Lepisosteus oculatus: one gene and its partner. The protein of the gene in region 1 binds, or shares a complex with, the protein of each later gene. Links are inferred from orthologs where the notes say so. Each region holds a gene or a part of one and is shown on either strand. Other genes may lie near its edges.

Region 1 (10,494 bases):
CTAATTTTACTAATTGAATTTTTTACTTGAAAACACTCCATGCACAACAGAAGTAACAATTATTGTTGTGCGAGGCTAGATGTCTAATTGAAATATAAAGGTATCGGTGAAACAGAAGAGAACAGCCAATGTTATATTATCTCATTTGTTAAATTACTGTTTTTTTAGTTTTCAATACTTAAAAAGCTTGTTACACTTTGAATATGTATTTTTGGCTTAAATGCTTTGTATTGATGCAGGGCTTATAACATAAATCTATTCTGGGGACATAAGAGATTTATACAGACCATTTTCAAAGAGATTATATTTATACAGATTACTGCACTAGAGCAAAAGTAATTTTCTTCGATAAGGCACGGTGGAAATCTTCTCAAACCTTTTTTTAGTTTTATCTTGGTATCATGTATACACATGCAGACCACTCAAAAAAAAAAACACTATGATCAAATAACCTTTCTCCAAGAAGAAAATTTTAGAACTGTTCCTTCTGTTAGCCAAAGGAAGCAAAATGATAAAATAAGTCCTTCAGTGACACAAATTCTTTACATCTGTCACCATTGAATTTAAATCGTAAGACATCCCTAATCTATTTCTCTCACACAGAACATGTGAGCATGCTGCCAAGAAAACTAACAAAATCCACAGTTCTTTCTCCAAATAAAAATGCAAAGCCTGTAAAAAAACGCCTGTTGTTGCTATGGTATTTGTGCTTGCCAAGGGAAACCATTTCAGTTACTCTTTCCTTTATCAAATGGTTGATAAATACCATATGCATGACATATCAAAAGATAATTACTGTCCTCCTTGAAGCACACTACAGAGTTCTGTAAACTCCAACAGGCATTTCACAATAGATCTGCTTTTTAAATGCCATAACAAGACAAGTACTGCATTAATGATCATCAGACTTTCCCCATGACTAAAAGCAAATCTGGAAAAAAAGGCAAATCCCAGGAACAGACTGCCATTAAATGTCAGTGCTGTTTCAAGGGCCCGTGTCCAACAATCACACGTCGGCTTCAGCTTAACAGCACGTCACCACCAAAATAAAACTTGGAAACTAAGCAGAAGCCAAATGCACCAGTCTGGCTTTTGTCAATCACACTGAAATATATCCTGCAGAGAGTGTTAAACAAAGTTTTCAAAAACTGAATATTTACCAGCATTCTTTCCAACATTATTTTAGTAGTAATAGGAATTGCAACATCTTCCCTTGCAAGTAAAAGTTAAATGGCTGTGTTACAAGTGCATGTTCTTCACAGCTGCCAACTACCGATTTCACAGCTGGTTTTAACTTCGAGTTAGTGTAATTGGTCATACAGTACTTCACTTTTAAAGATCAAAAAGGAAAGAGAGAAACTTTAAAATTTTCAGGAGTAGCTTACCCATTTTGAAGTTTCCATCCCTTCATTAACAGGATCACCAGGTTTGGCACCAATTTGTCGGACTTGTGTTGTCCTGCAGTGGCCCAATCCCTCTACGTTTGACTATATAGGATAAACTATGATGTAGCTTCAGTAAGAAAATGAGCTGTTCAATGTCTGTAAAAACCTTGATTTAGATAAACATCAGAAGGATTCCTAAATACTACATATTTTCCTGCTCAGTTTTATAAGTAATATCCCCTTTTTGAAAGTTTCAGTAATACAAACTTTCTATTAGTGCTGTAAGATTACAGTACTAATCAATCAAGTTTGGAAACACCGCGCAGAGACAAACAAAGGGAGACATTAATGATGATTCTTTACTGTAATCACTCAATTCTGAATCCTGTGCATCTCTGAATGGTAACTACCTCCTCTTAGGATCAGAGCTACAACTAGGATAGACCGCTCAGCTGAAGAGCCCTTCCGAATTAAAGGAGACCGTTAAAAAAAACAGCCAACTTCTAAGCAGGTTGCAAATACTGTCGGACTTTTATGGCCAACACCCTGATAACCGATGAAGACCACTGTATAACAACAACAAAATACACCCGAAACGGACAAAACCCTCATTATAAGCATGTAAGCAACAGCAGAGTCAAATCGGTCAGCATTAATTTATTGTAAAAATATGTAAAAAAAAAAATCAGTAAAATATCACCCAACAATGAGGAACACCAGAATGAACTGTTTCTATAAAAGCACCAGACACCACAACTGAAATTATGAACAGACGCCGCCACTGGCTTATCCGAACGCTGCCGAAGATAAAACCGCCGCACTGTGCCAAGACCAAACCGACTTGCTCCCGCCCTTCCCTTCGCACACGCAGCCGCTTGCGTTCTCCATCATCGCAGTCCCGGAGGCGCCCAGAAACGATCTACAGAGGCACGGCCCCGGGCTGGCCCCCCGGGCTAGGCGTCGTCTGGCTTGTCGGCGGGCGGCCCGCAGGGCTGCAGCATCTTCTCCATGAGGTTGAAGCGCACCCGGGCCTTGCTCTCGTTCTCGGCCACGGAGAAGTAGTTGAGCAGGTCGAAGTGGCCCATGTAGGAGCAGTAGGAGTCCCGGTGCTGGTTGACCAGCCACTCCCACTTGGTGGTGTCGGCGTGGCCCGTCCCGATGTACTTGGACTGCAAGTGCTCCAGCTGGCTGTGGATGTTGTAGCGGTCCGTCATCTTCCACTGCGAGAGGAGCGCAAAGCGATCAAAACAGGAGACCCCTCGGGTACAGCAGCTAATCAGCGCGAGTCGGATTGATCATGTCTTATCCCTTGCGTTTAACTATCAGTTAAAGAACCGAGATGACTTCAGGTGAGGGTATAAACAGAACAAAAGTTAGTTTTAATCTTTTTAACCAAACGGCTTCTAGCATCTGGTGCTTCATGTCCTAGTGGGTGCCTGAGATTTTGCATCTTCAGTCTGCTGCTACAGTACAGGAACGGTAAATCACAAGAGCCTCTGAAATTTCATTCACTTTGAATTATCATTAAAGCGTCTCATAGAGGCTGCCATTCAGGAACACGTGCCAGAAAAGAGCTTTGAGCTCCTAATGTTCGTGATTTGTGATTAAGAGACATTTGAATAGGTATCAGGAAACAAACCAGGTCTTATTGGTGGTGGTGGAGGGGAGTCCCCATTACCTGTAAAGCGCTTTGAGTGGAGTGTCCAGAAAAGCGCTATATAAGTGTAAGCAATTATTTATTTATTATTATTATTCCGTCGAACTTGCATGTACAATTGGAAAAATATACCCTGTCAAAGCATACTCACGGCGGCTTAAATGTGGGCGGGTACGTAAGATGTAAGAGAAACAAAAGTTATTAAAAACAACTAAAATATTCAATTGTGAAGACAAGAATGCGATCACCAGACTAAGTCTAAGAACTGAATTGCAGACGGAGGCCTACAGTAGCAGTTATAGTGGTAGGAGTATTGGTATTTATTTCATACTGAAACATATACAGTTAAAGTCATTGATACGAGACTAGTGTTTTCAAGTAATCAATAAAAATATTTTTAGCATTCCGCCATTAATTCGTAAGATAAAATGCAATATAATAAGTCTAAGTGGCTTAGAAACAATAACCAAAACTTGTGATACAAAGAGTACAATGTTAGTTATTTTTCAGAATGTGCCATACAAAGTACATTTAGGGTTTGAGCTAACAAGAAAGGCTACTAGTTTCACCGTCGAGAAAGAATTACAAAAACAATCCCATTGCTTTTACGTAACTATTTCAAAACTAGTTAAAACACACCTCAAACTAATCCCAGTCTATTCCTGAAGATCAACGAACGTCGTACAATAAAAAATGAAATAAAATTTTTCTTTCGTTTAAAATAACCTGAAAACTCATGTCTAAAGTAACTAAAATACTTAAAATGGCGTCGTAAACTACTTTAACACACTCGGTTAACAAACGCACATTTAACAAAACCTTCCCTTTACCTTCACATAAATAACTGACAGACATTTAATGTATAACAATTCTAAAAATAAATTCTTACCACTGATGACTTTAAAATAAACAACCTGAATAGCCTTTTCTTCCTACGGAATTAGTTACCGCTCCACTCGCACACGTTGAAATCGCTTTCTACAGGAAGCGAGAAAGGACAAACAGTCTCCTCTTGCCTTCGCAAAATTCGATTGAGCGGAAACCCTGACATTGGGTCGACGGTAGACTCCCTAAGTGAACGTAATTAAACGAATTTTAGTAGGTCAAAGGATTTATCTTTCGCTGATAAATTTACAATAGGTTTCATTTTATGTACCCCATAAATGTAACTATTTTTCTTGTAAATATCTAATTTGCTGGCAATTCTGCTGAGAAAAGGAAGTAGGTTTTTACACAAAAGGATGCTAGAGTCTGGACCATGTTAGTCGGCCATGTTGTTGGGGTTGATACTCTGTCTTTCTTCAAGAAAGACCTAGCTGAGATTGTCAGCTCCTTAAATAGCTCCCGAAAGAATGGCCTGCCCTCATCTTTATCCTATCTGATCTTTTAATATACGGAAGAAAGCCATAGATCCGAAGTCTTGATGGATCTCCAGCATGAAGGCTGCTCAGGACTATGAATATGTCGTCTTAATACCCTTTGGGGTAACTGTTTTTAAGTTCGTCTTTCTGACCTTTCAGCACCACCGGTTACTGAATGGCAAATTCAACTGGACTGGTCCAGTATCCTGTACTACGCACAAAACCAGCCTTTTAGATGCATTCCATGTTGGACTATCAACTTAACTATAACTGCTCTATTTTCATTTAAATAAAGTTTCAATTACGTTAGTTGGCTGATGCAACTTGCTTTTGTACCCGTTAAAACAGCCTGAAGAAATCTGAGTAAAATAAAATATGTTTTAAGACTCACTACTCCACACTGATGCCCACATATCTCTTTTTCTCCTCCTAAAATAAAAAAAAAGATGATGGAAATGGGGGTTGCTTATTTCTGGTTTCAGGCCACCAGATGCAATTCACACACCTTTCTCACTGGCCTTCCACTCTGCTGCTGAACTACCCAAAAACCTGAGGGTTCACCTTCATGGCTTGTTGGAGTGAATGATGTTCCAGTTGTGGAGTATTTCCCAGTGAGCGGGGCTAGTGCTTTGCTGTCATTGCTATAGTAACAAGAAGTAAAAGGCAGAGACCTCCGAACAAGGAAATGGGCTCAATTAGCAGCACAGCTGTGGTGCTGTGGCTTCACAGAGCGCATAAACATGAAACTTTTCCTGCCGTTTCCCAAAGCTCCCAAACACAGATTAGACATCCTGCATTGACCGAGCAAATATAATTAGCTTATTAACGAAGAGCAAGTTACAAGTACACATTGTAGCTAGTTCACTGAAAAATGAAAAATTCAGGGCATTGTTTAGTATTTGTATAACCCGTTAGCAGTTCACCAATGTATAATGTACCCATTCCCTTGATGTGAACCCACTTTATAAGGGATATGTGTAATTTTTATTGTGCTCATTTCTAGTTTTAGATCTTCTCTTAGAATTGTAGAGCCGTTACACTGAAAAGAATTTGACGGGTCTCCAATTCAAACATGATTTTCCCTCATCAGCTTGCTGATTAAACTGTTGCTACCAGTGAAAATTAAAAAGGCCGTGATATAATTTAACACTTTTTCTAATATCAATAAATGCCGGTGGTATGGTGATCACCAGTTGTAAATTTACCACGTTGATTTTTGCTGTAATGAGTCGGGACACTAGGCAAGGTACTGTAGAAGCAACTCTGAAAAAGAAGGGTGACTTCACCAGCCTTCCTACTGTTAATGTATAATGTGCTCAGACTCACAACAGTTAGGTGTGTGCTTGGTTAAAGTGCACAGGCTCCATCACATACCCATCTCCCCATTATCAGAAAGTCAATAACACTACTCTCCCCCTGGTCCATCACAGGGCCATGAAGAAAGGACTTGGGATAGCCAATCAAACGTGGCCACCTGCTTTGGGGAGAGGAACTCCTGTCTGGGTGGCCAGCCCTGGTCCTGGACAGCAACAATCCAGCAGGTTATATGGGTTATATATATATAACCCATATAACCTGCCTTTATATGGGCTCATACACAATTTCTAAGCACTTGAATCAGTTTGGTTTAAACTGCTTCTTAACCAGATGCTTTGTGCAACTAAGCTGTAGATCAATGAAAACTAAAATCCCCACGCCCTACAGTTCAAAGTCCAAAGAGGTGCTGAAATGACATGAATCCTGTGATCATGCAGAGGGCTGTTCAGCTGGCATTGGGCACCGTTTAAGCTGCAGTCTTTGATGTTACAGATAGTGCCACTGTCTGCCTGAGCTGGCAGAGGTCCGCACTGACAGAACTAGAGAAAGACCCCCCTGACTGCATCCCCCCCAGCCCCAGCTGAAGCACTCAGAATAACTTGAGCCTGATTCGAGGTTCTCCTGCTGCCAGGAGGCTGGGGATACAGGCAGCTGCAAAGAAGATCAGAAGAGGAAGAGCGCTGTTCCAGTGCTTCACCGTCTGGGAAAGGGGTCACAGTGTTGAGGGAAGGGCAAGCTGAGTGCAGAACATAGCGCTCAGGGGGAAGGAAAACCAGAAGACCAGAAGACCCTGCGCTGTCTGAGGACTGCAGTTGAGAAAACAGGCCCTGCTTCTCACTCTCTCCTGCAGCTCTGGGAAATGAAGGGGAAAAAATGAATGAAAATGACATATAAGGTCTTGTTCTCTTAGTTGAGTGCAACAGAGTTGCCCCAGCATGTACAACATGATCACGGTATTACTAAACAATCACCCTGATGCATCTGTAGGCGGCCCCTCCTCATCAGGTGGTCCAGAATAAACACACCTGTGGCAGAGTGGAAGCTCAAAAACATATTTTCCAGTAAAAAGATGCAATTCCTCTAGGTAGGTCTTACCTGCTCTGTGCTCTCGTAGGAAAAGGTAGAAAATGAAACTGCTTCATCCCTTCCAGTCACTTATGTCACTGTTGCTAAGTAACCCTAAGTGAATTAAACTGCAGACCTGAATCTTCTCCAGGATGCCTCTGAATCTCGATAGCTGACTGGTGCCAACTTCAATGATAGCCCACTCCTAAACCCTGCGTTCCTTAGATTATATTTTGCTTTAACCGAGCTACAGTATGTGCGTTGCTCACATTAACTTCTTTTTTGTACTTAACAGCATAACCTAAAAGGCAACCACACAGCAGTAATTTGTTTTCTTATTTATATCTTAACATTTACATTTAACTATTGTTACATTATCCCTTCACAATAAACCCAGTATAATCTAGTTAATTTCCAGTTTCTAAGAATCCTGCTCCATAGAAACTGATCTGCAACTGTTATTTATGAATTGACTCCACTAGGAATGTTTCTCTTAATTTTTCGATCAAAAAGCTTTATAGGGCACAAAGAAGTAACCGAATTGTCCCGCTAAAAACAAGTAACCCTCTACTAAAGAAACTGTTTATTCTTTCATTCCAGCCACATTGTTGCAGTTTTCAAACAGCAATCTTTTGGTCACTGAGAAGTATTAATACAACATGTAAGATTAATTTAAAATGTTAAAATGTTGGTTGATGCACAATACTGGAATATCAAAGACAAACATAATTAAACTGGCACTTCCTACACGACTCACTGTTTTTGTGCATCTGTTCTAATATCAGTATTGTGACATTTCAGACATGATTATTTTCTGTGCAGAGCAGCTGTTTACTTGATTTCATTCAAGCTAAAATGCCAAATAGCACGTGCTATTCAGAGGATAACAAATGTTGAAAATTGACATAAAAGGATTAATATGTCATTATTTAATTTCCCATATAATTTAATTTGAATCCGTCTCTGCAGGATATGATCTCCTGTTGTGTGGTCAGTAGCTGGCGAGAATCCGGCATATCTGCTGTTGCTTGAAAAGCATTAGAGCCATTCTGCACACCCACCTGAGAGCTGTGGTGCATCACTGAGAGAATAGAGGAAGGCACACAACATCACACGATGTGTGCCTCACCTTCGGAGACAGCTCTCCTTCTGAAAAGAGGGAGGAATCGATCTGTAGAAAATGCAGTCCCATCAGAAATTTACCTCCAAAGAGAACCATGCTAAATTTGCCAAATTCTCAGCCAATCAGAATGTGTAAAGTCCTGGGCTCTGTGTACGGAACCCCTCTATTAGGGTTAAATCAGATTTTTGAATACTAAAGAAGATGCTCTCGTACAGTGAAAACACTGTTTTACACAAACTGGGGGGTGAAGAGCTGGCTGTTCTTTAACAGGAAACACAGCCTGACGGCATGAGAAAACTTTCGGGCCACTGAGTCAGACACAAGGACCTGCTTGTAGTCCCTTCACACATCAGTACCTCAGAGACACTGTGCAATATAACAGAGCACGCTCACAATGACACTGTGCCATTGGGAATAAAAGTTACAGGCAGTCTGATGCTGGACTTTGTTTATTCAAGCAAGTTTGCAGCTGCTGAATGCAGGATATTTTGCGTGAAATCAACTATACGGTATGTCCACTCCTTTCCATTAGAGCTTCATCTTATTTACAGACCCAGACTAATTCTAATTAACTCATTAAATGCATGTTGGCTACTGTGGTAATGACCCAAGGCTGCACAACAAGTGGCATGGTCTACAGAAAAATGGTTTACAGAAAACCTTCTGAAGCACAGAGAGAAAAATATTCTTCAGATGGGTCCTGTCAGAGCCCAGATAAATATGTTTCACACTCCAGGGTGTCTGTTACATGCCTACTGTCGCAATCATATTTTGTGAAAAAAACAGAAAAGGTTATTTACACTGCTGTTCACAACATTATTAGATAAGAAGATACAAAGTGCTTATAATTTCTGATAATAAAGAGTATTTGATGAAGGGGCATATACTGTAGCTGCTCATAAACAAGAGCTGTCTCCTTTTGATGACATCATCACCAGTCCAGGAAGTATCTGCTAGTTGGGGTACAGTTGTTGTGTCAGGGCTAAATCATTTGAAGAACCAAGAACTGAGCAGAAGTGGAGGTTGCAAACTAAGGGCTGCAAGCAAGTACCATATCTGCACCATGGCTGAGAAACTGAATGGAGTGAGGGTTACCTTCACAAGTATTCTGGAGCACATGTGTACCAAAAGGTTCTGTGGAGCAGCGCTGTGGAGTAGCTCAAGCTAAAAGGCCAATTTCGATCATGGTGATCACAACCCTGAGATATATCAGATTAATATCAGCATTTACGCAAAACTAAACACCAACTAAAATCTTTTTTTTTTCATAATCCTTTGGATGGAAGCTGTTTGTGGTCTTCATGAATGTCTTTTTTCATGGTGAAAGAAGTAAAGTGACACTTTATAGATAAGATATATCAGTCAAATAGAACATGAAAAAGAATATGTTCTTTTTAAAAGAACCATAAAAACGATTACACTCCATAGGTTTGTTTATTGAAATATTCACTCATTTAAAAAAAGGCTCAGCATGATTACTTCAACATTTTAACAAAATGTAAATTCCTCTTACAACGTATGGTGAAGCAGAATTATTAACCCCAACTCCCCCCCGCCCCCCCAAAAAACTAAAAACAAAAGAATTGTCTGGATTGAATCAGAATTTTGACCTGGCCAGCAACAGCACCCTGTTGACACCCAGTGTTTATCTGACAAAATGCAGCCATTAAGTGCTGGACTTGCAATCTGGGATCAGCAGGAGAACCCATTCTTGTCACATCATACAGCTCTAAACACCATATATAATAAATATTATTACAATAAATATTGCAGATCCCTCATTGGTTGACGTGTCCAGCAGAGCACTGTCCAGATGTGAAGCATTAAACACATAATCCCATCACAGGTCTTCCTCAAGAATGACTTTGCCTGAGACACCTTTACTTCCAAATTTGGAAATCATTCCCACTTGCCCTTGGCAAACACAGTCAAGGTGCATCTAAGATAAACAGGGACATCGTAAACAAATTTGTCATCACAAAACTGTCAGGTTCGATTTTTTCCAAGTGACATTTGGAAAGCCCAGGAGCAAGTGTAAAAAACTGAGGAGACCGTAACTTTTGTCGGCTTTCCCTTTTCTTCTTCGACATGTTTGTTTCCGAAACACAGAAATCACACCAAAAAAAAGCCCACTAGCCTTTCAGCCTTTCTCTTATGATGTTCACTTCAACTTAACTGTCAAACTCCCATTATTCTGCTGAAAGCCGGACAGATTCTTGCAACTATTACAAATATAAAAAATGCCACTATTACATTTAATACAACTCTCCCTGCTGCACCAACATGCAGACTCAGGTAGAAAACACTATGGTAATGCCCCTCTTCCACTGTATGAATTATTGATGTAGTTCCCTGTTCCCCTTGTCAAAGCAGAAATAATGACATAGTTGGTTTACAGTTTATGAAATAAATATTGCAAGTGTTTTTAATAGTAATTTCTGTATTTCACAAAAATAAAATATGACACAAGAAAACCTGAAACATAAAAAATATGGGATCCATTAAGACATTTAATGACGTAAATATACTTTTCAGAAATGTAAATGTCAAACACAATGTCATGCAAATTTCAGAATTCTGAAAATA
Region 2 (11,086 bases), on another chromosome or scaffold:
CGGGCTCACAGGAACGTAGGTAAGACAGTAAGTAACTTTATTGCCCATATACAATTTCTTTTATTAGGCATTTGTCTTTTCACAGACCCCAGCTTGCTCTCCAGGAGACACACAGGCAGGGAGAGAAGCTCAGGGTCAGCCATTTATACAGCACCCCTGGAGCAGCAGGGGTGAAGGGCCTTGCTCAGGGGCCCAACGGAGTAGGATTCCTCTGCCGGCCGCGGGATTCGAACCGGCAACCTTCCAGCCACAGAGCCGCCGCTCCGCCCAGGAAGCTCTGAACTTCCTGGCCCGTCTCCCCCCCCTCCAGGCCAGAGGTGCTTCAGCCGCGGGGTGAAACGGGCGGGGTGGGGAACTCGGTGTGGGAGCACACGGCCGTGCCAGTCTGTGCCATGAAAAGAGCTGAGGGTGCAGTCTCAAGCCGGCTGCGGTTTCCCGTTTTCATGGATCAGCCCTTGTTTCCCACTTCTCCTCCTTCTGTAATTTCACACTGGGAGACGTGGGCAGAGGAGCACACTGTGGAGAGTGGGTATTTTTGCAGAGGTCAGTCCGATTAGAGGTCAGTTTCTACTGCCTCTGGTGACTGGAAATAGATCTGGGCTGCAAGGTCACTTTAAAAGTAGGATTACTTGGGCATCTTATTACCCCCTTCCTCCAAAAAAAAGGAACAACGCTGAAATTTCTGATCGGGTGGATTTCTATGGGACAGTCAAAGAGCTGCTGGGTGAGAATTCAAGGCCCTGACGAAAAGAGAATGCATAAGCGACACAACACCAGGCACAAAACACAGCAGACCCCAACACTGCAGTGCCTCTCACAGCTCGGTCTGACACATACCTGCATGCACAGGGAGCAGAATTCTCAGTGTGGGAAAACTGGAAAATCCTGTTTAGGTGCTACGGTCTACGCAGTGGGGTCAGATTTTCCCGGTGTACTAACTGTACACAAACCACTGTTCTAATTCATTGACCATGGGAAGGGGCAGTTAGCCCAGAGGGAAAATAAGGGCCCTTATCTCCAGAGCACACAGCGTGAGCACTTCTGTTTTCAGGTATCCAGAGAAGAGGTGGCACTCGGAACAGCACTGGACTGAGGTAATGTGGGCAACAGACACAGCCAGAGGAGAGGACACAGCCGTAGAGCAGCAACGCAGGATATGTAGGATTTGTAATATTGCACAAATAGGGAAATGTGTTAAGCACTGAGAACAGGAGCGGCCCCTTTACACAAAGGGTTGGCGGAGAATGGAACAAGCTTTCTTTCAGGAAGCAGCTGGATGAGATTAGCCTTGCCACCTTTCCAAGATGAAAGGGGGAAACAAAAAAGAGCTTTTCGCCACCCGCAGACAGGGTGTGCGCCCCGCCACGGTGTTGGGGTACCCGTGCCAGAACTACTACGGAGATGAGGGACCCCTCGCTTGTGTCGGGGCCTGCGCCCCACTTCTTTTAACAGTCGTTTTAGCACCTGCAACCAGCGGGGGCACGAAGCCAGCAGGCCGAGCAGCAACCCAGGACAAGCTCCTCGGGCCCCATCGCCACCCAAGACTTCTCCTGCTCAGAACCCGTCTCGTGTTCTGACGGAGCCCGGCTGGGCCCGGTGTGGGTGAGCTGCCTCTTCGCCTGCAGGCTTTCAGCAGCGGGTTGGCTGGAGAGCAAGGCAAGAGTGCTCTCGCTAAATCTTCACACGACACAACAGACACGTGGGACTCCGGCTGGGAGCTCGTCTACGGCTCCTCGTCGTCTCTGGGCCCTGGATATTTCAGTCTGGTACCCCCAATCTGAATGGGCGTGAGCAGACAGAGCCAATCGGCACAAAAGCCTGGGGTGGTCGGTTGTGTTTCGTTTCACAACAGACGCCGCAAGTTGTTTATAGGCCGAAACCTATAAAAATCGATTGTTTCATTCGCTGGGAATGGCAGCCCGTAGTCATTCACCACACGAGCGCGAAACGAACAGAGATGCAAGACGAGAGGGATTCTCAGTCACTTGAATTCATTCAGCCTCAAGATCCTGCCACAGTGGATCTGCTTTCATTATTTTTTCATTGATTGATGAATCTTGCAACGGCATTTCTGAACAGCTGGCTCTGTCTTCACAAAGGCCTGTAGTGAAACAGATCTGTATGTTCGGTACTCTGGAGCCCCTCCAAAACAACAGTAGAAACCTTCTAGTGAGAGAGCGGTACGACCATCCAATCACTCCATCATCACTGGTGGTTCAAATTCAATGTTTGATGGCCAGATCTTTCCAGGTTCAAGTAGGCTGGTCACTTTGCAAACGGCTAAGGCTCATTCAAGATTCGGGGTTCAGTCTGTAACCTCTGGACTGCAGGGATTCATCCTGGACTGGTACCCCCTGTGACCTCCAGTCTGCAGGAGCTCATTCTGGACTGGTACCCCCTGTGACCTCCAGTCTGCAGGGGATCATCCTGGACTTGTACCCCCTGTGACCTCCAGTCTGCAGGGGCTCATCCTGGACTGGTACCCCCTGTGACCTCCAGTCTGCAGGGGCTCATCCTGGACTGGTACCCCCTGTGATCTCCAGTCTGCAGGGGATCGTCCTGGACTGGACTGGAAACCAGTCCTGTAATGGATGATGAGGAGTCAGGCAGGGCCCCCTCTTCCCACTTCGCAGGAGAGACTCAGTGGAGCCAGGCTGTAATCTGAGCGTGCCGTATCCGGGGCTGTGCTGACACAGACAGGACGGGACAGCAAGGTGACCCGAACAGTGCAGAGTCCCGGTCTACACTCGATATCCCCCGATCCCATCCCCACCTTCAGGTTGATTCTGTGTCAAACACTGCCCACCTTCCAGATCCACGCTTTTTCTTCTTCTTCTTCTTCTTCTTCGTCTTATTATTATTATTATTATTATTATTATTATTATTATAGTGCAACACTGTACAAGCCTGGACACAGAAGCGACTATCTTCTTAACGGAGTTTTAAAGCAGCACAGCCAATGTTTCGAGCCAGTGTCCTCTTTGGTGTGAAAGGCACAGCGAGTGGCACCAGTGTGACATCCCGCTGAGACAATCGGATCGCTGTGAAGCCATCTGGAGGATAAAAACTTTCTCAGAGTCTTGTCTCCAGCAGCACCCCTGACAACACGGGTCTGCCACGAGCTCTGAGAGCTGACCAGCCCGAAGAGGCGAATCTCGCGCTCAACAAAAACCTTTTTTTGAAAAATATACAGTATATACTGTATATAAAAATAAAAACAGACACATATAAACACAGAGGGGAAAAAAAAGTTCCTCTGATGATGATGATGATTTTACACAAGTATATGTATGAAATTAAAAAATAAATGAATTGGTTTTGATTTCCGGTCCGGTCTGGCTAATGCAATGAGGCCCGGCTGAATTAAAATCAGATCCGTCTATTTTCTGACCACGTCTATTAATTCAGGGTCGCAGGGGAGCTGGGGCACAAGGCAGGGTACACCCTGGACGGGACGCCAGTCCATCACAGGGCAGACAGACATAGACACACACGCACTCTTACCAGCACCCATCAGCCAACCAGCATGTGTTTGGACTGTGGGAGGAAACCCACACAAACACGGGGAGAACATGCAGACTCCACACAGACAGCACCCCAGGTCTGAAATTGGACTCAGGGCCCGAGTGCTACAATGCAGCAAAGCTGACCCCTGCGCCACCGAATTAAAATTATTTTAAAGAAATACAATGAAATACTCTAGTACTGTTTCTAGTGCTACTGCCAGTGCAGAACCAATAAGAACACTGCAGAGTCCCCCAAAACAGGACAATTTAACCAGCTTTTCATAAATCACTTCCGCACCTCAGTGGTACAAATACAGCATCAGACATCTGCACGAGATCCTGCCAAACCTGCACAAGCCCAAGGTGCCCCAGGCAGCCCTGTGTCTGTGTCAGCTCCTCGTTGAGGCTGGTGCTGTGTATCAGTGGTACTGTCTCGGTATCAGGGCAGCGTGTTTAATGAAGGGGAGGACTCTGGGCGGTCTCCGATGATCCTGATGGAAGTGACAAGAGCTCAAAAAAGACAAACGTCAAGCGCCTGCCCCCCTTAAACCAGCAATAGCAGAGTCCCCCAGAGATCCGAGTCAAACCAATGTGGGTGCACTGCACCACACACACGTCCAGGAGACGCTACCCAATGGGCACAGCGAGCAGGCCATGGGTCTGGGATCAGGCGACCGCTGTCTGTCCTCATCACACACAGCCTCATTAGGGATCTGTGGGAGGCAGCGGGGCTGAGCTGGGGACAGTCAAAAAGAAAGGCTAGCAGCCAGTCCAGTTTTTTTTTTTCCCCATCAGGAAGAACACCACCATGTCGGGCGGTCATGAGTCAACCTGTATAAAGGGGGACACATGGGTTCCAATCTCCACATAAGTTTAGATCCCTGTCAGGAAAACACCGGGAACACCTCTGATCGACCCATCACTTGTCTGGAAGAACGACCTGCTTTCTCTTGGAAATCCTACTAGGCAACCCACTGAGCTAGAAACACGCTGAGCCTACCCCATGAGCACCTCGAAAAAGATCATTTTCAATGCTTAATAAACGTCACTTTCAGTTTTTCAGACTAGAGGATCGCTCTTCATTTACGCAGGTTTCTGTCCGTGGCAGTTAATGATTCAACATCCACCGTGTTGTAAAACCACCTCATAAAACACGGTATGGCTCTGGGTAATCGGTAATCGCAGATGCAACACTGTCTCCCTGTACTGTCAGGCAAACGGGCTCAGCTGTGGCTCGTTTAAATAGCTTTCAGGGTGGCCCGGCGGAAACAAAAGCATTATCCGGTCACCACGGACGGTAAATTAAAAACATATCGCAGTATAGGAGGTACCACACCTTGGTGTACCCCGATAAATACCGTTTTACTGACAGATGTGTACAGAGCTACACTCCCCTTTTCGTTAATGTGACAAACCCTAGTGCTGGTCTGTCTCCTTACTAGTAAATGAGCCGGGAAATCTGCGGAGTTAATTACAGTGTAGCTACCCCGTCCTTTTCCACGGTTTATTACGGCTAAATTGTGTTGTTGTTGTTTTTTTTCAACGCGGCATTGGTAACGAGCCCGGGTCCTCAGTTAAGGGAAGCAGTGAGATTTGACACACAGAAATACACCAATCGTCTTGACAGTAGAGGGTAGAAAAAAAAACGCCGAATGCTAATGACTTGGGATGTTTTTATTTTTTATCAGAGAATTTGAGATACGACGAATCTCCTCACAACCTCACACAGATCAGACGCCACACACACCAGATTGCGAAAAAAAAACATAATCGCTGCGTTCGTGAAAAAAAAAAATGAAACTGAACACGGTATTATTCTTCCAAACTGACTATTTCACACACTCCAGCGGACACACCGCATTACGTTATTAGCAAGACATCCTCGTAGACGTATACATGACAGATCCGTGTAGGAAATTTACTCATCCTTACGACACAGGCGTGTGAAATGCACGACCACATCGTGTATGTTGTATACGGCAAGCCGACAAAATCAAACACTTGCGTTAAAAAAACCCACTCCGCCTCGGCAACTGTCCTGGCCCGTCTCACACGTCGGACAGGCTTGTATAAGCGGTTTGGGCGCCCAAACGAAAGGCAGTTTATCCAAATAAATAAATAACACGTCCATATATTAATATTCTACTGTACATCGACCTGACCCGAGCGGTTGACCCCGATCAGTAACGCAGCGGGTCCCTATCGGGGATGAGACTAAATGGATTATTTTTAACCCCCCGTCCCTCTCTCCCTCTGTTTGTGTGTGTTGATTTATTTAAAAAAAAACACAGGCCGTGTATATAACAGTGGATTATTACTATATAATATTAATTTCACACTTGGAAGTCGCGGACAGCCGACGACCCGCTCTTTTCCCAACGGCGGAGCGCGAGACGCGTGACTGAATTTGGGGGGGGGGGGCGGTCGAAACAAACGCGTCCGTTTGACATAATTCGTTTAACAAATCGGTCCCCGTCCCCGTATAAAAAACAAAAACAAAACATCTTTATCGTCACCCCGCTATGAGAAAATGACAACAAATAATGTCGGTAAGAAGAAATCAAAAAATATCTTTAACAAAAAAAAAAACCTTACCTTCATCGTTCCTGCGCCTTCACAACCTATTCCCTCGTCTCGGTTCCGTACTTCTCCAGATATTACTTAAATATTCACATTCACATGCGGCTGTGATGCTCCTTAGCGCCGTTTTTGTATCATAATGATCATGCTCGGATTAGACACGGGCGGCGGTGCTACTGTTTTGAGAGAAAGGTGTTCACTCTCCTGCTCCTGCGGCAGGTCGCCATGCCTGAGACGGGCGATAGGACACAGGTCAGAAATTGCATTACATTTCATTACAGTCTACAATAAACAGCGGCGGCGATAATGAGAGAAACAGAAGAAGAGGAAAAAACGGAGACCCGCCTGTACGGGCAAGGGATTGGACGAGGCTGGTGTACTGTATGTGTGCTGGCTCTGTGTGTGTGTGTACAGATCTACAACCGCACCGCTTCGCTTTAAAATCTCTTGCCTCCAAACACGTCCAATTAATCCCCGTCCAGTGATAACGGTGGGCAGCGGGAGAGGGAACCAAGGAGCTCGGCTTTTAAATGAACACACACACACAAAAAAAACCCAAAACTTTTATTTTTTACAGTACAGAACAGCGATAAAACCGACACAATGAATGCGAGGGGGGGAACTGAAGGTCAAACGCGCTTGTAACGAAGAATAAATTCATACATTCAAGACAAACGACGCCAGTACGTGTTCTTGACCTGACCTACATAAAGCGATAATAAAAATATTATCCTCATTTGTATACCTACTAATTTCCGCCGCATGCCTTAGTGAATATTTTTTCGTACTCTGGCAAATTGGGGCCTGTTTTCTCTTTTAATTCATTAAATCAAACCTTCAAAATATAATAATGTGGGCATAGTTGAATTATTTCGGGTATTTCGCTTGTTATTCTATAAGCAGATGCGTTAAGCGACAGATAAAAAAAAACTGTGCTTCAAAAAGGCAACATGACTATGGAGCTGTGCGTTTATTTTCTAAATACAATATATGACAAAAATATATAATGACTGTAACTGTAATCGTTTTAAACTGAAACGATTCTGTTTCCAGTAGACTGGAAATAGTCAGCGCTAAGAAAAATCCAACAACCTGGTTAGTCTCCATAGTGATAGTCTGCTGTGACCTTGCGTGACCCGAAAAACTAAGGCTGCATTGTAGGAGTTGTAGTCCCTGGTGTCGATAACGTTCATTACCGTGCACGCCTGAGCAGGATGAAAAGGACTACATTCGCCAGGGGCACCCGCGAGCTGGCTGCCGGCTTGTCGCGGCTCGGGACCCGAGGAGGAAGAAATGGCGGACCCCGACAAACTACGAAGTGATGCCGGCGAGAAACACGGGGAAGTCGGAAATGGGAGCAAAAAAAGGGAGGCCGCCGCCGGCCCCGTGTCTTTTGGCTTCAGCAAAACCGTCAGCAAGTTCAGAGTTCAGAGCTCCGCCGAAAAAGTGGAGGAGAAAGACTACCTGACCGGTGTAGAAGGAAAGGAGTTAAAGAGGTATGGCCGAGAGTAGCGCTCTACATAGGGTACCGGGGTCTCAAAGACTTTCAAAACTTAACCTCGGGGTGCAAAATTTATTGTAGTGTTGAAGTGTAGTAATTTCGCTTTTTGTTTCTTTCTGGTTGTATGTCTTGCCTCTCTTGTGTTGACTTGATTCGGGGTGTTCTGGTGTCTTTTCCTGCCTGCTTTTGACTCTGCATCTCGGTGCGCTTGGGTTCGGGCGTGTCGTCTGCGCTTCTGCGTCCAGCACCAGACCAGCGGAGAAGCCCAAGGAGCTGGTCATCCCGCTGATCCACAAGAACCGGTGGTACAAGGGCGAAGGGGCCAGCAGGACGGCCAGCGAGACCTGTCCGCAGCCGCCCAGGGAGGAGGATGCTGTGGAGTCGCAGGCCGTCAAGGAGCTGATTGAGGGTACGTGCATCAGGCTCTCCCGGCGTAGCCCACTGGACCGTTTCGGGTTTCACCAGCTTCAAGGCTGTTGCGCGCGTAAACACAGCTGGGCGGCACGGTAGCAGTTCCGGGGTCCTGGGTTAATTCCTGCAGGCTGTCTGTGTGGAGTTTGCACGTTCTTCCACGTTCATGTGGGCTTCCTCTGGATGCTCCAGTTTTTGGAGTCCAGTTTTCTGGGAAAATTGGTCCTGGTGTGGGTGTGTGTGTACGGCAGTGTTTTTGTGCCCTGCCATGGACTGGCATGCCGTCCAGGGTGTAACCCACCGTGCGCCTGTTGCTTCCTGGGATGATACCCACCTCCCCCGGACTTGAATCGGACGAAACAGTTGGAAAATGGATTGATGGGTGAATGCTCTAGTTTGTGTTTCGGTGTTCATCCTGTTGAAGTCCACTGGGTTGACTCTGTCAATGCCTTTGAAGATTTTGAATACTTTAATAGGGTCCCCTGGTAGTCTCTGTTCAAGACTACAAGAAAAACTGCACTTCCTTTAACCTCTCAGTGTAGTAAGTTGGTACAATTCACTCCACCAGTAACCAGCCAGTGCACAAGAACCCACTGCTTGTTCGAAGACTGAAGTTGCTCCGTCAGCTGAGCACCAATCTTGTTTCTGTCCCCTGCTGTTCTTCGGGTTATTCTCCTCCCAGTTCTCCTGTTACACCCTGATCTTCTTCTTCCCTGACCGCTGCTAGAACTCCTCATTTGATGTTATCATTAAAGTGCTTTCTTTCCAAGGGGCATTGCTGGGAACTTAAAATGCATGGTAAACTGTCAGCCTAATTTTAATAGTCTGTTAATATATAAATGCGTGCATCTGGTAGCATTAACAGAAACCTGTTTAGAAGAGATTCAAAGAGGTTTCTTACAACCATTGTTTTAGTTTCTTTAATTACTCCTGTTGAATGGAAAAGCATTATGTGTCACTGTCTCACGGACACCATGTTTGTGAAGGGATGTGCTCTTCTTTAAATAAAATGACGCATCCAGGCTGTTATTGGAATCTTTTACTAAAATGTTTTTTTTTTATGGTGATTTATAAAAGCACTTTAATCCTGTAGCTGCCTGGGTCTCTCCAGAGTTACACCATTTTGCAGTTAGTGTAGGAATGGAAAGATTTCCACTGCACTGACGTTGGTCTGAGTTGCTAATCTGAGTTTTACGAGCTCCAGGCTCTGCTATGTAAACCAACACCAGCCAGCCTGGCCTGCACCTCCCCGGTCCTGAAACGAACGAGGCTCCTGTCCAGTGGGAGAGTCTTATTGTCTTATTTCCACCCCGTCTTATTGTCTCTCTCTCTCCTCAGAGTCCCAGCGGCAGCAGGAGTTGTGGAAAAATGGCGGAGCGGCTGACCTGAACCTGTCCATCCCGCTGCTGATGCAGAACAAGGCTCCCGAGGGCTACGAGGACGGAGACAAGATCCAAGTGGACCTGCGGCCCGAGTCTGTGAGTCGCCGCCCCAGCCCCTGCTTCACAGAGCAGAACCAACTAACTCAGCATTTGATAACCATTAAAAATATTGTCATTCCTGGGGACTGTCATTCTCTGAGTTTCCCACAAATTGATTTATCCTCTCCTGCGGCTGTAACAGTTAAATGCTTTCACTGTGCACTAGTGCAGTTTAATTTTCTGACCTTTTTTTTTTTGGTATTGATTAATTATTTTCCCCAGTGCCATTTTAATTAAGAGTTGGAAGGGACCGCCATTGTTAATGTAGGATTTTAGGCGCAATTAGGAGATTAAATGTGCTTTTCAGATCCTCTGGTGATTACGTGGCTGTATATGTTGCACCTAGTGCGTTTATATATATCCAGTAGGTAGAGGGAGATAATTGGGTAACTGGACAGGCATCTATTGCCTGTGCTCTTCATACTGTCTAAATGGCTGCACAGTTCATTAGCAGAATAAAAGAGCTGCCAGTTCTTCAGTGTCTTACGAGCACAGGCTCCTTGCTGCTGGAAAACTGTCCACAGTGTTCCTCGGTCTGTACAGAACATGGGTGCGCAGGCATGTGTGCGTCCATGATACGTGTGTGAATGTGTACTACATGTATTAATCTAGGGTTTGTTTCCCCTTTTTGTCCTCTTGTCTTGCCTGACGGGGTTCAGGATGAGATTCTCTGGCGCGGGGAGCACGCGTCTGGACAGGAGGGTGCAGAGATAGAGAGCTCACCCCACTGCTTGCGCTCGCCCTACTGTGTGAGTGGAGGTAGATGGACTGGTTGTCGAAGAGCCCCTTGCCCATGTTGTCCTGTTGTTCTGGCCCTGGGGGTGCAAGGGTTCTCACTGCCCTCACAGACCGATATCAAGCACCTTCGGGTGCTGCTTTTGTTCCGTCTGCCACCAAACCGAGACGAAAAAAACATGAAAATCCGGAAAACATCACACAGAGCAGCAAGGCAGTGAGCCTGAGGGTGCCCGACCGCAGCGGGGCGGTGCCGTGTGAACTCCTGCACCCCCCAGCCGGGCGGACTTGTTCGCTCCGGGGCGGGGGAGGGGGGGCTGCTGACATCGGCACGCGCTGGCAGCCAGGCAGGACTGCAGGGCTGCAGGCTGCTGCGGCTCTGGGCTCGGCCGAGCCATGGGGAGCCGGCGCACGTCCGCTCCCAGGATCCGCAGCACCGACAAGAGTTCTGCTCTGTTCTCGAGGTCGGAGAGCTACGGCCCTCATGCAGCGTCACAGAAACTCCTGAAGTTACATCCCTCCTCCGTTCTGCCCTAAATTGTTCCTTGGGTTTCTGGGTTTTGCCCACACCGAGCTGCTGTGCACATGGCCAACGCCCACTCTAAGAGATAAGAGACTTTTAACCCTCAAACTGTGAAATACCCAAGGCAGCTCCTGGGGCCATCCCCCGCCCTTCTCACTTTCTCTCCCAGCTGTTGTGCGAGTGCTGTAGCCTCTTAGACACAGATGCTGGCTCTTTCTGGGCAGAAGGGAACATGGCATTAGTTTTACGTCGGAGTTCCCTGTTCCACCAGACATTCAGTGTGCTGCTAAATCCCAGTCTTGCGCTGGTACACGAAACAGCTCCGAGAGACAAACAGCTGGTGTGCAGC

The links. Proteins that work in one complex are often made in the same cells at the same time.
Region 2: sf3b5 (region 1) and gpkow share a complex: the UniProt entries of both Homo sapiens proteins name them as parts of the minor spliceosome. The link is inferred for Lepisosteus oculatus from reciprocal best matches to the Homo sapiens genes SF3B5 and GPKOW.

Annotation. Positions count from the first base shown.
Region 1 is NC_090712.1:1,904,585-1,915,078, reverse strand, and holds sf3b5 (splicing factor 3B subunit 5), read right to left. Parts: upstream 4,042-10,494; 5' UTR 3,932-4,041; intron 2,606-3,931; 5' UTR 2,600-2,605; coding exon 2,339-2,599; 3' UTR 2,023-2,338; downstream 1-2,022. UniProt on the Homo sapiens protein: Component of the 17S U2 SnRNP complex of the spliceosome, a large ribonucleoprotein complex that removes introns from transcribed pre-mRNAs.
Region 2 is NC_090697.1:75,063,252-75,074,337, forward strand, and holds the start of gpkow (G-patch domain and KOW motifs-containing protein), read left to right. Parts: upstream 1-6,588; 5' UTR 6,589-7,379; coding exon 7,380-7,582; intron 7,583-7,832; coding exon 7,833-7,996; intron 7,997-9,336; coding exon 9,337-9,476; intron 9,477-10,138; coding exon 10,139-10,228; intron 10,229-11,086. UniProt on the Homo sapiens protein: RNA-binding protein involved in pre-mRNA splicing. As a component of the minor spliceosome, involved in the splicing of U12-type introns in pre-mRNAs.